Kluyveromyces lactis: one gene and its partners. The protein of the gene in region 1 interacts with the protein of each later gene in a biochemical or structural test. Links are inferred from orthologs where the notes say so. Each region holds a gene or a part of one and is shown on either strand. Other genes may lie near its edges. The genes, in order: SUP35, HSP104 and NAM7.

Region 1 (3,990 bases):
ATTACACAAATGAAGATGCTCAACCTCAGAGAAGACCCACGCATTACCATCCACACCGTACTGTTCGCAGGACCGGTGCTCCAACAACAGCTTCTAGAAGGGCTGTTGGACCAACATCTGGTGATGATGTAGTTGGGGCTCTTTTGAGTGCTTTGGCCGGTGGTAATTCCGACATTTTCAGAGGGGATGCTGATGAAGAAAGTCAGAGACAAGCAACTGATGATGAACAAGAAAACGATGAACAGGAGCAAGCCGCTGCTCTTGCGGCAGCCGAAGAAGCTCTTGCAAATCAATATTCCGAGGAAGAAAAAGAACGTAATGATCAGCAAATAGACGAGGAAACAGCAGAGCAAGGAGAAGACGCTTCTGACGAGTACAACGAAGATTATAACATGCACAATAATGAGGAACAACAAAAGTTGAATAAGACTACTTCCTCCGTTGACAGCGAAAAGGACGTAAACCAAAAGGATAAACTAGCTTACGAGCCCAGCGGTTTCAGATCTCCGGTTCCTGCACCTTTGCAAGTTTCAAACCCAGAATTGAGACTTGATCTACCATTTTCTCCAGAAGTTAACGTTTATGATACTCCCGAACAGTACGTTGTTGTATTGGCATTACCTGGTGCGAACTCGAAGGAGTTTAAAATTGATTTCCATCCTTCATCGCACGAGTTACTGATCAAAGGTGCTGTCGACAACAAGATCGGGATTGATAAAAAGTACGTGAAGATCTCAGAATTGAAATACGGTGATTTTGAAAGATCTGTCAAGTTCCCCGTTTTACCGAGAATTAAAGATGAAGAGATTAAAGCATCGTACTTTAACGGATTGCTTCAAATCAAAGTCCCAAAAATTCCACAAGATGCTAATAAACCACAACCAAAGAAAAGAATTATAATAGAAGATGTACCAGATGAAGAACTTGTGTTTGAGACTGCTCCTCGCAATTTATGAAATCATCCCTGGCTTCACATTGGAAAACTGGTTCAGCCAAACATTTATATGAACAATTGTTATGAATTAAAATAAGATCTCATGTTTAGTAATCGCTTATGTATAATATTAATATTACACGAATACCAGCACCCTCATTTTATACAGTTACATAGAGGAAGAACGGAACGGTTGCACCAGGTTATTGATGCCATATTACGTATTGGGCGCTACAATGGTGTTAGTCTATTTAGGAATATATGCAGTCGTATAAAATTACATCATCGCTAATTGCAAAAAATTTTAAACAGCTTGATAGAGAAGATCGAAAAGTGTAAGAAAGCGTTACTGATGATCATCATGATCCTCCCATCAGCGAATTGCCCTCTATTTGCAAGCTTAAATTGGAACAAGGTACCGGTCTATAGCATCTACTAGTAGACATGTCAGACCAACAAAATCAAGACCAAGGGCAAGGCCAAGGTTACAATCAGTATAACCAATATGGCCAGTACAACCAGTACTACAACCAACAGGGCTATCAAGGCTACAACGGCCAACAAGGTGCTCCTCAAGGCTACCAAGCATATCAAGCTTATGGACAGCAGCCTCAAGGAGCCTACCAGGGCTACAACCCTCAACAAGCTCAAGGCTACCAACCTTACCAGGGCTACAATGCTCAGCAACAAGGTTACAACGCTCAGCAAGGCGGTCACAACAATAACTACAATAAAAATTATAATAATAAAAACAGTTACAATAACTATAATAAGCAGGGTTATCAAGGTGCTCAAGGATATAATGCACAACAGCCAACCGGTTACGCTGCTCCAGCACAGTCTTCATCCCAGGGTATGACTTTGAAAGATTTCCAAAACCAACAAGGCAGTACTAATGCAGCCAAGCCAAAGCCTAAGTTAAAGTTGGCCTCTAGCTCTGGTATTAAGTTAGTAGGTGCCAAGAAACCTGTAGCACCCAAAACTGAGAAAACTGATGAATCCAAGGAAGCAACTAAAACTACCGACGACAACGAAGAAGCACAATCTGAATTGCCCAAAATTGATGATTTGAAAATCTCAGAGGCTGAAAAACCAAAAACTAAGGAGAATACCCCATCTGCTGATGATACTTCCTCAGAGAAGACTACCAGCGCTAAGGCAGACACATCTACAGGAGGAGCGAACTCCGTGGATGCTCTAATCAAGGAACAAGAAGATGAGGTTGACGAAGAAGTCGTTAAAGATATGTTTGGTGGTAAGGATCATGTTTCCATCATTTTCATGGGTCACGTCGATGCTGGTAAGTCAACAATGGGTGGTAACTTGTTATATCTGACTGGTTCTGTGGATAAAAGAACCGTTGAGAAATATGAGAGAGAGGCTAAAGAGGCTGGTAGACAAGGTTGGTATTTATCATGGGTGATGGATACCAACAAAGAAGAAAGAAACGACGGTAAAACCATTGAAGTGGGTAGAGCGTACTTTGAAACTGAAAAGAGACGTTACACTATTTTGGATGCTCCCGGTCACAAAATGTATGTTTCTGAAATGATTGGTGGTGCATCTCAAGCCGATATTGGTATTTTGGTTATTTCTGCTAGAAAGGGTGAATATGAAACTGGTTTCGAAAAGGGTGGTCAAACTCGTGAGCACGCTTTATTAGCCAAGACACAAGGTGTCAACAAAATGATTGTAGTTATCAACAAGATGGATGATCCAACTGTGGGATGGGATAAGGAAAGATATGATCACTGTGTTGGTAACTTGACAAACTTTTTGAAGGCTGTGGGTTACAATGTTAAGGAGGACGTCATTTTCATGCCAGTGTCTGGTTACACAGGTGCAGGTTTGAAGGAACGTGTCGATCCTAAGGACTGTCCATGGTATACTGGTCCATCTTTATTAGAATATCTTGACAATATGAAGACTACTGATCGTCATATCAATGCTCCATTCATGCTTCCAATTGCTTCTAAGATGAAGGACATGGGTACTGTTGTGGAAGGTAAAATCGAATCTGGACACATTAGAAAGGGTAACCAAACTTTACTAATGCCTAACAGGACCTCTGTTGAAATTCTGACCATTTATAACGAAACTGAAAGCGAAGTTGACATGGCTGTTTGTGGTGAGCAGGTTAGATTAAGAATTAAAGGTGTCGAAGAAGAAGAAATTTCTGCTGGTTTCGTTCTAACCTCTCCAAAAAACCCAGTTAAGAATGTAACGAGATTTGTGGCTCAAATTGCTATTGTCGAATTGAAATCGATCATGTCTGCTGGTTTCTCGTGCGTTATGCATATTCATACAGCTATCGAAGAAGTCACCGTCACAAGATTGCTTCACAAGCTTGAGAAGGGGTCAAACAGAAAATCAAAGAAGCCTCCAGCATTTGCTAAAAAGGGTATGAAGATCATTGCCGTTATCGAGACTAATGAACCGGTATGTGTTGAAACATACGATGATTACCCACAATTGGGTAGATTCACTTTAAGAGATCAAGGTACCACCATTGCTATCGGTAAGATTGTGAAAATCCTTGAAAATTGATCTCGGTTTTTATGAATCCATATCACAATGCATATTTACTAGGTGTCTAGTCTAGATTGTATATTTAGTTTTTAATCTTTCAAAAATGTCTATAAGACTTTCAACCCCGTCAAGTACATTGTCATCTATTCCTAATCCTGGGGTAAATTTGGTATGTGCAAAATCTATTATCGACATGCGACTCAATTCTGTCTTTCCTGATATGCTCTCCTTTGACTGTCCATCTTTAATGGACCCTTCCTCATCCGAATCATATGATACATGGGACGGTATTAATTCTTGTTCCTGAGAGAAGTTGATCCACCGAGTAGTATCGCATTCATATATGAATAGAAGGCTACTTGATATCATGCGAACCTCTTCATTCAATAGCGTATTATAGAAAAGCTGAAGCCTTTTTGAAAACATGTGAATCAAATCATTACGATTTTGGAGTGAAAGATTATTATCGCCAAAGTACAAATCAAATGCGTCCGTTACATTCGAAGCTGTCAACTCACGACCGTAAT
Region 2 (4,169 bases), on another chromosome or scaffold:
AGAAGAAAAAGGCTAAGAAGGAAGAAGAGAAAAAGCAAAAGGAAGATAAGAAGAACAAAAAACATAGTGACAAGAAGAACAAAAAACATGATGATGATGATGAATACTCCGAAGCTGAACCTTCAGTGACTGAAGAAAAACGTGTTGAGACGAGTTTCACCAAGAAACCACATCACACTACCTCTGCTGCATTGAAGGAAGGTTACAAAGAGGTAAAGAACGAAACGGACACTGAATGGAAAACAGATGACGGTCACTACAATGGCACTGAGACTGATCATTCTACTGCCCTAAATGATGCTTATAATTGGAAGAGAACTTCGTCCATAGGCTCCATTATTGCTTTCATGATGTCCTTGTTAATTTGATTCAAAAACGAAAGATCATCACGCACATGAGCTGGAATATCTAGTTATACATATGTAGATCTTACAAGGAAAATAATAATATGTTGCTATCCAAAACTTGACACAATGCCAATGATATTGTCTTAATTAACGTGAATTACAAAACTGACGCCTGACATCGAAACAGAAGTGCGTTCCAAAAACCTAGCGTTAAATTTCAAAATCTATCACGTGATGGTGATCCACTTGTTCCAGTTTTTTTCTTCGGTTTTCTTTGTGGACATGCACTTTCGAGAGTCTTCCAGAAAAATCCGGTAATGTTCTAGCTATCACGGTTCCGGACTCTAGCTTAGAGCAGAGTGAATTTTAAGTAGCTTTACAATCCCCACACAGCTTCTACATTGCCGTAAGCAACATGCTGGGATAGCTGGTTGTTTGATCTAGTATTCAACTAACAATAAGGACGTACTTACAATTTTCTATTTTACGTAGCCATGAACGTCAGTCCCAACGGTAATTTAAAAGCTTAACCTTGAGTGAGTGAATTATTCGAGAATGTACTGGTTTATACTGGAAAAGTAATGTAGTTGTTAGAGCTTTGTTTGTCTGTGAATTGGGCAATACTAAAGCTGGGACTGGTACCGGGAGATAGGGGTTGAGGTATATTTTGCTTTGCTATTAGTTTTCTTAATAAGGTGATTTTAGGGTATCTTTTGATAGATGCTTATAGAAAGAATAGGTGAAAAAAAAAGTTTATAGAATATAAGCGTAGTGAAGAGGTATATAAAGGGAGACCATCCGAAGAATCATTTGTTGAGTGCTTCCTGCTTTGGAATTCAATTACATCAATTGTATCAATAGTGGTCTATCTGATAGAAATAAACAACAATTGTCAGGATCATCAAACGCATCAACAGTTTATTGTCTAGAAAGAAGATATTACTACAATGAACGACGAAACACAATTTACAAATAAGGCCAACGAAATTATCCGTTTGGCCCAGAAATTGGCTCAGGATCACAGACATGCTCAGTTACAACCAATTCACTTACTTGCTGCATTTGTTGAGCCAAACGAGGATGGTTCTGTTGGATTCTTACAAAACTTGGTGGAATTAGCGAAATATGATTATGAACCTTTGAAAAGGGCCATCAACAGAAACCTAGTCAGGACTCCATCTCAGACGCCCGCACCATTAGAAATTCAGCCAAGTTATGCTTTCGGGCAGGTCTTGAAAGATACTTCAGAAATTAGGAAACAGCAAAAAGATTCATTCGTCGGTCAAGATCATATATTGACTGCTTTGTTCAAAGATGCAACAACTCAAAGCATTTTTAAGGAGTGTTCCATTGACATAGAATCTGTGAAGCAGCAGATGCTCGAATTGAGAGGCAATCAACGAATTGATTCAAGAGACGCTGATACAAATGAAAAATGGGAATATTTGAAGAAGTATGCGATCGATATGACTGAACAGGCTAGAGCAGGTAAGTTGGATCCTGTTATCGGTAGAGAAGAAGAAATTAGAACTGCCATCACTGTTCTTGCTAGAAGAATCAAGTCAAATCCATGTTTGATCGGTGAGCCAGGTATTGGTAAGACTGCCATTGTAGAAGGTGTTGCTCAAAGAATTATCGACGATGATGTTCCACAAATTCTACAGGGTTGCAAATTATTTTCTTTGGATCTTGCTGCATTGACGGCTGGTGCCAAATATAAAGGTGATTTCGAGGAAAGATTAAAAGGTGTCTTGAAAGAAATCGAGGAATCAAAGACTTTAATTATATTATTCATCGATGAGATTCATATGTTGATGGGCCAAGGTGTAGATGATTCTGCCAATGCTGCTAATATTTTGAAACCAGCCTTATCTCGTGGTGGCTTGAAGGTAATTGGTGCCACTACCACTAACGAATATAGATCTTTGGTCGAGAAGGATGGTGCTTTCGAAAGAAGATTCCAGAAGATTGATGTCCCTGAACCAACGACAAGGCAAACGGTAGCTATTTTGAGAGGTTTACAGCCAAAGTATGAAATACATCATGGTGTTAGAATTCTAGATAGTGCCCTAGTGTCTGCAGCTCAACTAGCTAAGAGGTACTTGCCATACAGAAGATTACCTGATTCTGCTATTGACTTGGTTGATATTTCATGTGCCGGTGTCGCTGTTGCTCGTGATTCTAAGCCCGAAGAATTAGACAATAAAGAGCGCGAATTGCATTTACTACAGGTTGAAATCAAGGCATTAGAAAGAGATGAAGAAACGGATCCAACGACAAAAGAAAGGCTACAACAAGCCAGACAAAAGGAAGCTTCATTAATTGAGGAATTGGAACCAATGAGACAGCGTTACCAACAGGAAGTGGATTCTCATGAACAACTAAGACAAGCCAAAAAGAAGCTCGATGAATTGGAAAACAAATGCATGGATGCCGAACGTCGTTACGATAATGCTACCGCAGCTGATTTGAAATACTTTGCTATTCCGGATATCAAGAAACGTATTGAGGAATTGGAACAAAAAGTTGCTGAAGAAGAATCCAGGGAAGGTTCTGAAACAATGGTGAAGAACGTGGTTAACAGCGAGGTTATTGCCGAGACTGCCGCTAGAATGACCGGTATTCCAGTGAATAAACTAACTGAATCTGAAAACACAAAGTTGATCCATATGGAACGTGAGTTATCGCAACAAGTTGTGGGTCAAATGGAGGCTGTGAAAGCCGTTTCTAACGCTGTCAGACTTTCTAGATCTGGTTTGTCTAACCCTAATCAACCGGCATCTTTCTTATTCCTAGGTTTATCTGGTTCCGGTAAGACTGAATTAGCTAAGAAAGTCGCATCCTTCTTGTTTAATGATGAAAAAGCTATGGTCAGAATCGATTGTTCAGAATTGATGGAGAAACATTCAGTTTCGAAATTATTAGGTACTACTGCCGGTTACATTGGTTACCAAGAAGGTGGTTTCTTAACTAATCAATTACAGAGAAGACCATACAGTGTGTTGTTATTTGATGAAGTCGAAAAGGCCCACCCTGATGTCTTGACCGTTCTTTTGCAAATGTTAGATGACGGCAGAATCACTAGTGGTCAAGGTAAGACAATTGACTGTTCGAACTGTATTGTAATTATGACTTCTAATTTGGGTGCCCAATTTATCAATGCTCAGACTGGATCAAAGGTTACTGAGGGTTCCAAAGAGTTGGTGATGAGTGCCGTTAAAGCACATTTCAGACCAGAATTCTTGAATAGAATCTCAAGTATCGTGGTATTCAACAAGCTTTCTCACAAGGCCATTCACAAAATTGTTGATATCAGAATCAAAGACTTGGAGAAGCAATTTGCGGATAATGATAAGAATTACAAGATCAACGTTTCACCACCAGCTCGGGATTTCTTGACCAAGAATGGTTACTCGGAGGATATGGGTGCTAGGCCATTGAACAGATTAATTCAAACCGAGATTTTGAACCCAATGGCAATCCATATCTTGAAGGGTGAGATCAAAGACAAAGAAATTGTCAATGTAGAAGTGGGTGCCGATGGATCTCATTTAGAAGTTTTACCAAATCACCCAGCTTCATCAGAAATTGGTGATGAAGACATGGATTTGGACTTGGACGACGATGACGACTTAGACCTAGACTGATCTAAAATGAATTACAAAAAGAAAACATACAAACAAACTCACTCAGTAATAAAATTTCAGTTCAACAGTACCATCATATATAGTGTAAAGTACATATTTTTTTCACTTTCTTTAGTATAATATTTTGACTTTTACATGTTTTCATGTTCATAAGAGGTGCAAACCAATGGTGCTG
Region 3 (4,150 bases), on another chromosome or scaffold:
TGAATTGAATCCATTGCAGGAGGAAACGCTGTACTATAAGATTCCCAGTGATAATGAAGAAGAGTTTCAGGAGGTAGAGCTTGGAGGGAACCCATTCCGTTCGAATATGATGCGTGGAGATACTTCTTTGAAGGGGAAAATTGGATCACCATCAAAGTGTGGTTGTGTGGTATGTTCGAACTGCCACGGGCTAAGGAAACCTAGATCGAAATCGTCCGCTTCTTACAATGGATACAGTTTCTCGCTAGATTCAAACCCAGTCTCAAGGACAAACAGTATAGTCATTCCATTGTCTAAACAACCCACAAGACAGAGCATTGCTTCTTCTGTTGGATGTCTAGATACAAACAATACCATAAATAATAACAGTCTCTCTTTTGGATCCCCAACTAATATCACTGACGAGGGCGCAATAGATCCTAAATCTTCCAATGGATCAAGATCGTCCATTAGCTTATCTACAAATGCCATTCCAACACACTTATACAGCTTGGAGAGATACGTAAGTTCTGAATTGGATTCAGCGACGGAATCCTTCTTTGATAAGTCAAAACAATTGTCAGACGAAGCTTCAACTCATGGAACAGAAGACACCGTCTCTTCATCGTTGGCAAAAATGTCATTACGAACTTCACCTCAAAGTTCAAATAGCACAATTGCCAATCCAAACACCTACACTAATAGAACCATACCAGAAATACCGTCAGGAACTCAATCAATTAACCAATATTCATCTTCACATCCACCACCATTTTTGGACGCAAGAAAAAGAAGAAAGTCTTTCATTGAACAGGCTTTATCAGAGAGTTTCTCATAATAAAATTCACAACCCCAGTCTTCAACCACCCTCAGTTACCCCAATCATAATCATCAGTATACCCTCATGCATCAAATATATAAACGTAATAGGACATAGACTGTCACCTAATCACTATTTAATTACCCGACTTTTGCATGCATTTGCTGATTCTTTTTTTTTTTTTTCAGTTTGTGTACTTCACATCTCATCTCACATCTCATCAGAAAATGCATCAACTTCCATACATAAAAGTATTTAATCATAATATGCTTCAACAGTTATTATTTCCTATATCACTTTATCTGTATTTTCAAGAAGTTCTGTAAATTGAGCATCTATCAATGTGCTGAGTAACATATTTTGATTTGTGACTCTGACTCATTTCTTGCGAACTTTTTTTTTTGGTTAGTTCGATCTATTCTGTTCAAAGCTATTCTTTGAAGTAGATTGTACACGACTGGTGCCTTTATTATCTCAGTACAATTAGAATCAAGTTTCCTTATGACGATGCGTTTGCCAAATGAACCGTTTGATTCAGATTCGGACTCAAACGAATCTGTTTCTTTGAGAGACGATGACGACAAAAACTTTTTCTACGATACTGATGAGATGCTGGACGAGGAATACTCTGAGTTCCACGGCACTGCTGCTAATACAGATCCTATTGCGGAACATGCTTGTGCATATTGTGGTATTGATAATACTTCATGTGTTGTCAAGTGTAACATTTGCAGCAAATGGTTTTGTAATTCGAAAAATGGTACTAATAGTTCCCATATTGTGAACCATTTAGTTTTATCCCATCATTCTTCAGTTTCATTACATCCAGACTCAGAGCTAGGAGATACTACTTTGGAATGCTACAATTGTGGACGTACTAATGTGTTTGTTCTTGGTTTTGTTCCGGCTAAGAGTGAGGCTGTTGTGGTCTTGTTGTGCAGATTGCCTTGTGCTAAAATGAAGAATGTTAATTGGGATACAGATAACTGGCAACCACTTATTGAAGAAAGGAAGATGCTATCTTGGGTGGCAGAAGAACCAAGTGAAGAAGATCAGTTGAAGGCCAGGATGATTACTCCATCTCAAATTACGAAATTGGAAGCAAGATGGAAATCAAACAAAAACGCTACAATTATGGATATTGATATGGTCGAACAAGATGAAGATATTCCTCCGACTTTGATGAGATACACTGATGCTTATCAGTACCAAAGATCATTTGGTCCTTTGATTCAGTTAGAAGCAGATTATGATAAGCAATTAAAGGAATCACAGGCCTTAGAACACATCTCTGTCACATGGGATTTAGCATTGAACAACAGACATCTAGCTACTTTTGCATTATCCACATTCGAATCTAACGAATTAAAAGTTGCCGTTGGTGATGAGATGATTTTAAAGTATAGTGGTCCACAACATGCAGATTGGACAGGAAAAGGTTTCATCATCCAGCTACCAAACAGTTTCAAAGATGAATTTACTCTTGAATTGAAACCAAGTCAAAAAACTCCACCAACTAATTGTACTACAGGATTTACAGCAGTTTTTGTATGGAGGGGAACTTCTTATATTAGAATGCAAGAAGCGTTAAGAAAATTTGCTGTCACCAAAAAATCATTATCAGGGTTCTTGTATTATAAGATATTGGGCCAAGAGGTTCCAGATGTGGAATTTGATGTAGAATTACCCAAAAGCATTTTTGTGCCTCACTTCACCGAGTTAAACCAATCTCAAAGTAATGCTGTGAAGCATGTTTTACAAAGACCTTTATCATTGATCCAGGGACCTCCTGGTACCGGTAAAACCGTCACTTCAGCTACCATTGTTTATCATTTGTCTAAAATCCACAAACAGCGTGTTTTAGTTTGTGCACCATCTAACGTTGCAGTGGATCATCTTGCTGCCAAGTTGCACAGTATGGGTTTAAAGGTAGTACGATTAACTGCTAAAAGTAGAGAAGATGTGGAGAGCTCAGTGTCCGAGTTAGCATTGCATAACTTGGTCAGCAGGTCTGCAGAAGGTAAACTCAAAAAACTTCTCAATCTTAAGGAAAAAACAGGGGAACTTTCCTCATCGGATACCACGAAATTTGTGAAGTTAGTGAGAAAATCAGAAGCTACCATCATTCAAAAAGCTGATGTTATTTGCTGTACTTGCGTCGGCGCTGGTGATAAAAGATTGGACTATAAGTTCCGCACAGTATTGATCGATGAAAGTACTCAAGCGTCAGAACCTGAATGTTTGATCCCTATCGTCAAGGGAGCCAAACAAGTTGTTCTAGTTGGTGATCATCAGCAACTTGGTCCTGTCATTTTAGATAGAAAAGCTGGTGACGCTGGTTTGAAACAATCTTTGTTTGAAAGATTAATTTCCTTGGGTCACATTCCTATTAGATTGGAAGTCCAATATAGAATGAATCCACAATTAAGCGAATTCCCAAGCAACATGTTCTACGAAGGTAGTTTACAGAATGGTGTCACCATCGAGCAACGTACTATTGCAAGATCTACCTTTCCATGGCCAATTCATACTATCCCTATGATGTTTTGGGCTAACTATGGTCGTGAAGAGATCTCAGGCAATGGTACTTCCTACTTGAACAGAATTGAAGCCATGAACTGTGAAAAGATCATTACAAGACTATTCAAAGATGGTGTCAAACCAGAACAGATTGGTGTTATAACTCCTTATGAGGGGCAGAGAGCATATGTTGTACAATATATGCAAATGAATGGTTCGATGGAAAAATCATTGTACATGGGCGTTGAAGTGGCATCAGTAGATGCTTTCCAAGGTAGAGAAAAAGACTATATTATTTTGTCTTGTGTCCGTGCCAATGAGAGAAACACCATTGGTTTCTTGAGTGACCCACGTCGTCTAAATGTTGCGTTGACTCGTGCTAAATACGGTCTAATAATATTGGGTAACCCAAGGGCACTATCTCGCAATAGCTTATGGAGTCATCTACTACTTCATTTCAGAGAAAAGGGTTGTCTTGTTGAAGGGTTTTTGGATAATTTACAACTCTGCACAGTCCAATTGACGAAACCTTCTAGGGCACCCAGGAAAGCCCCATCCAACAACAGTAGTTATACACAATATGCTGGTCAGAGAGACTTTGACACTCAAAGTTTGGTCTCATTCGGTGGCCAAAACGTCGTTGAAAAATCTTTTATTCCAAACACGGACTTGTCTTCGTTATTGAACCAACAATATTGGAATGGACAGTCTTTTGATACACAATCGCGCTTAAGTGCTACGCATCCTGTTAACCAATACGATAAAGACGCGGTCAATTTTGATGGAAGTTTATCCAATGGCTTAAGGAAGTACAATGGAGTGGGCTCAAAG

Evidence for each region.
Region 2: the proteins of SUP35 (region 1) and HSP104 form a complex in vitro, tested with the Saccharomyces cerevisiae proteins (7 studies listed by BioGRID, with this or other methods). The link is inferred for Kluyveromyces lactis from reciprocal best matches to the Saccharomyces cerevisiae genes SUP35 and HSP104.
Region 3: the proteins of SUP35 (region 1) and NAM7 form a complex in vitro, tested with the Saccharomyces cerevisiae proteins (2 studies listed by BioGRID). The link is inferred for Kluyveromyces lactis from reciprocal best matches to the Saccharomyces cerevisiae genes SUP35 and NAM7.

Annotation. Positions count from the first base shown.
Region 1 is NC_006040.1:1,486,446-1,490,435, reverse strand, and holds SUP35 (translation termination factor GTPase eRF3), read left to right. Parts: upstream 1-1,378; coding exon 1,379-3,481; downstream 3,482-3,990. Other genes in the region: heat shock protein HSP42, read left to right, coding at 1-956; ARG82 (inositol polyphosphate multikinase), read right to left, coding at 3,533-3,990. UniProt on the Saccharomyces cerevisiae protein: GTPase component of the eRF1-eRF3-GTP ternary complex, a ternary complex that mediates translation termination in response to the termination codons UAA, UAG and UGA.
Region 2 is NC_006042.1:1,666,988-1,671,156, forward strand, and holds HSP104 (chaperone ATPase HSP104), read left to right. Parts: upstream 1-1,294; coding exon 1,295-3,994; downstream 3,995-4,169. UniProt on the Saccharomyces cerevisiae protein: Required, in concert with Hsp40 (YDJ1) and Hsp70 (SSA1) and small Hsps (HSP26), for the dissociation, resolubilization and refolding of aggregates of damaged proteins after heat or other environmental stresses.
Region 3 is NC_006038.1:566,608-570,757, forward strand, and holds the start of NAM7 (ATP-dependent RNA helicase NAM7), read left to right. Parts: upstream 1-1,300; coding exon 1,301-4,150. Other genes in the region: MBR1 (Mbr1p), read left to right, coding at 1-817. UniProt on the Saccharomyces cerevisiae protein: RNA-dependent helicase required for nonsense-mediated decay (NMD) of aberrant mRNAs containing premature stop codons and modulates the expression level of normal mRNAs. Also capable of unwinding double-stranded DNA and translocating on single-stranded DNA.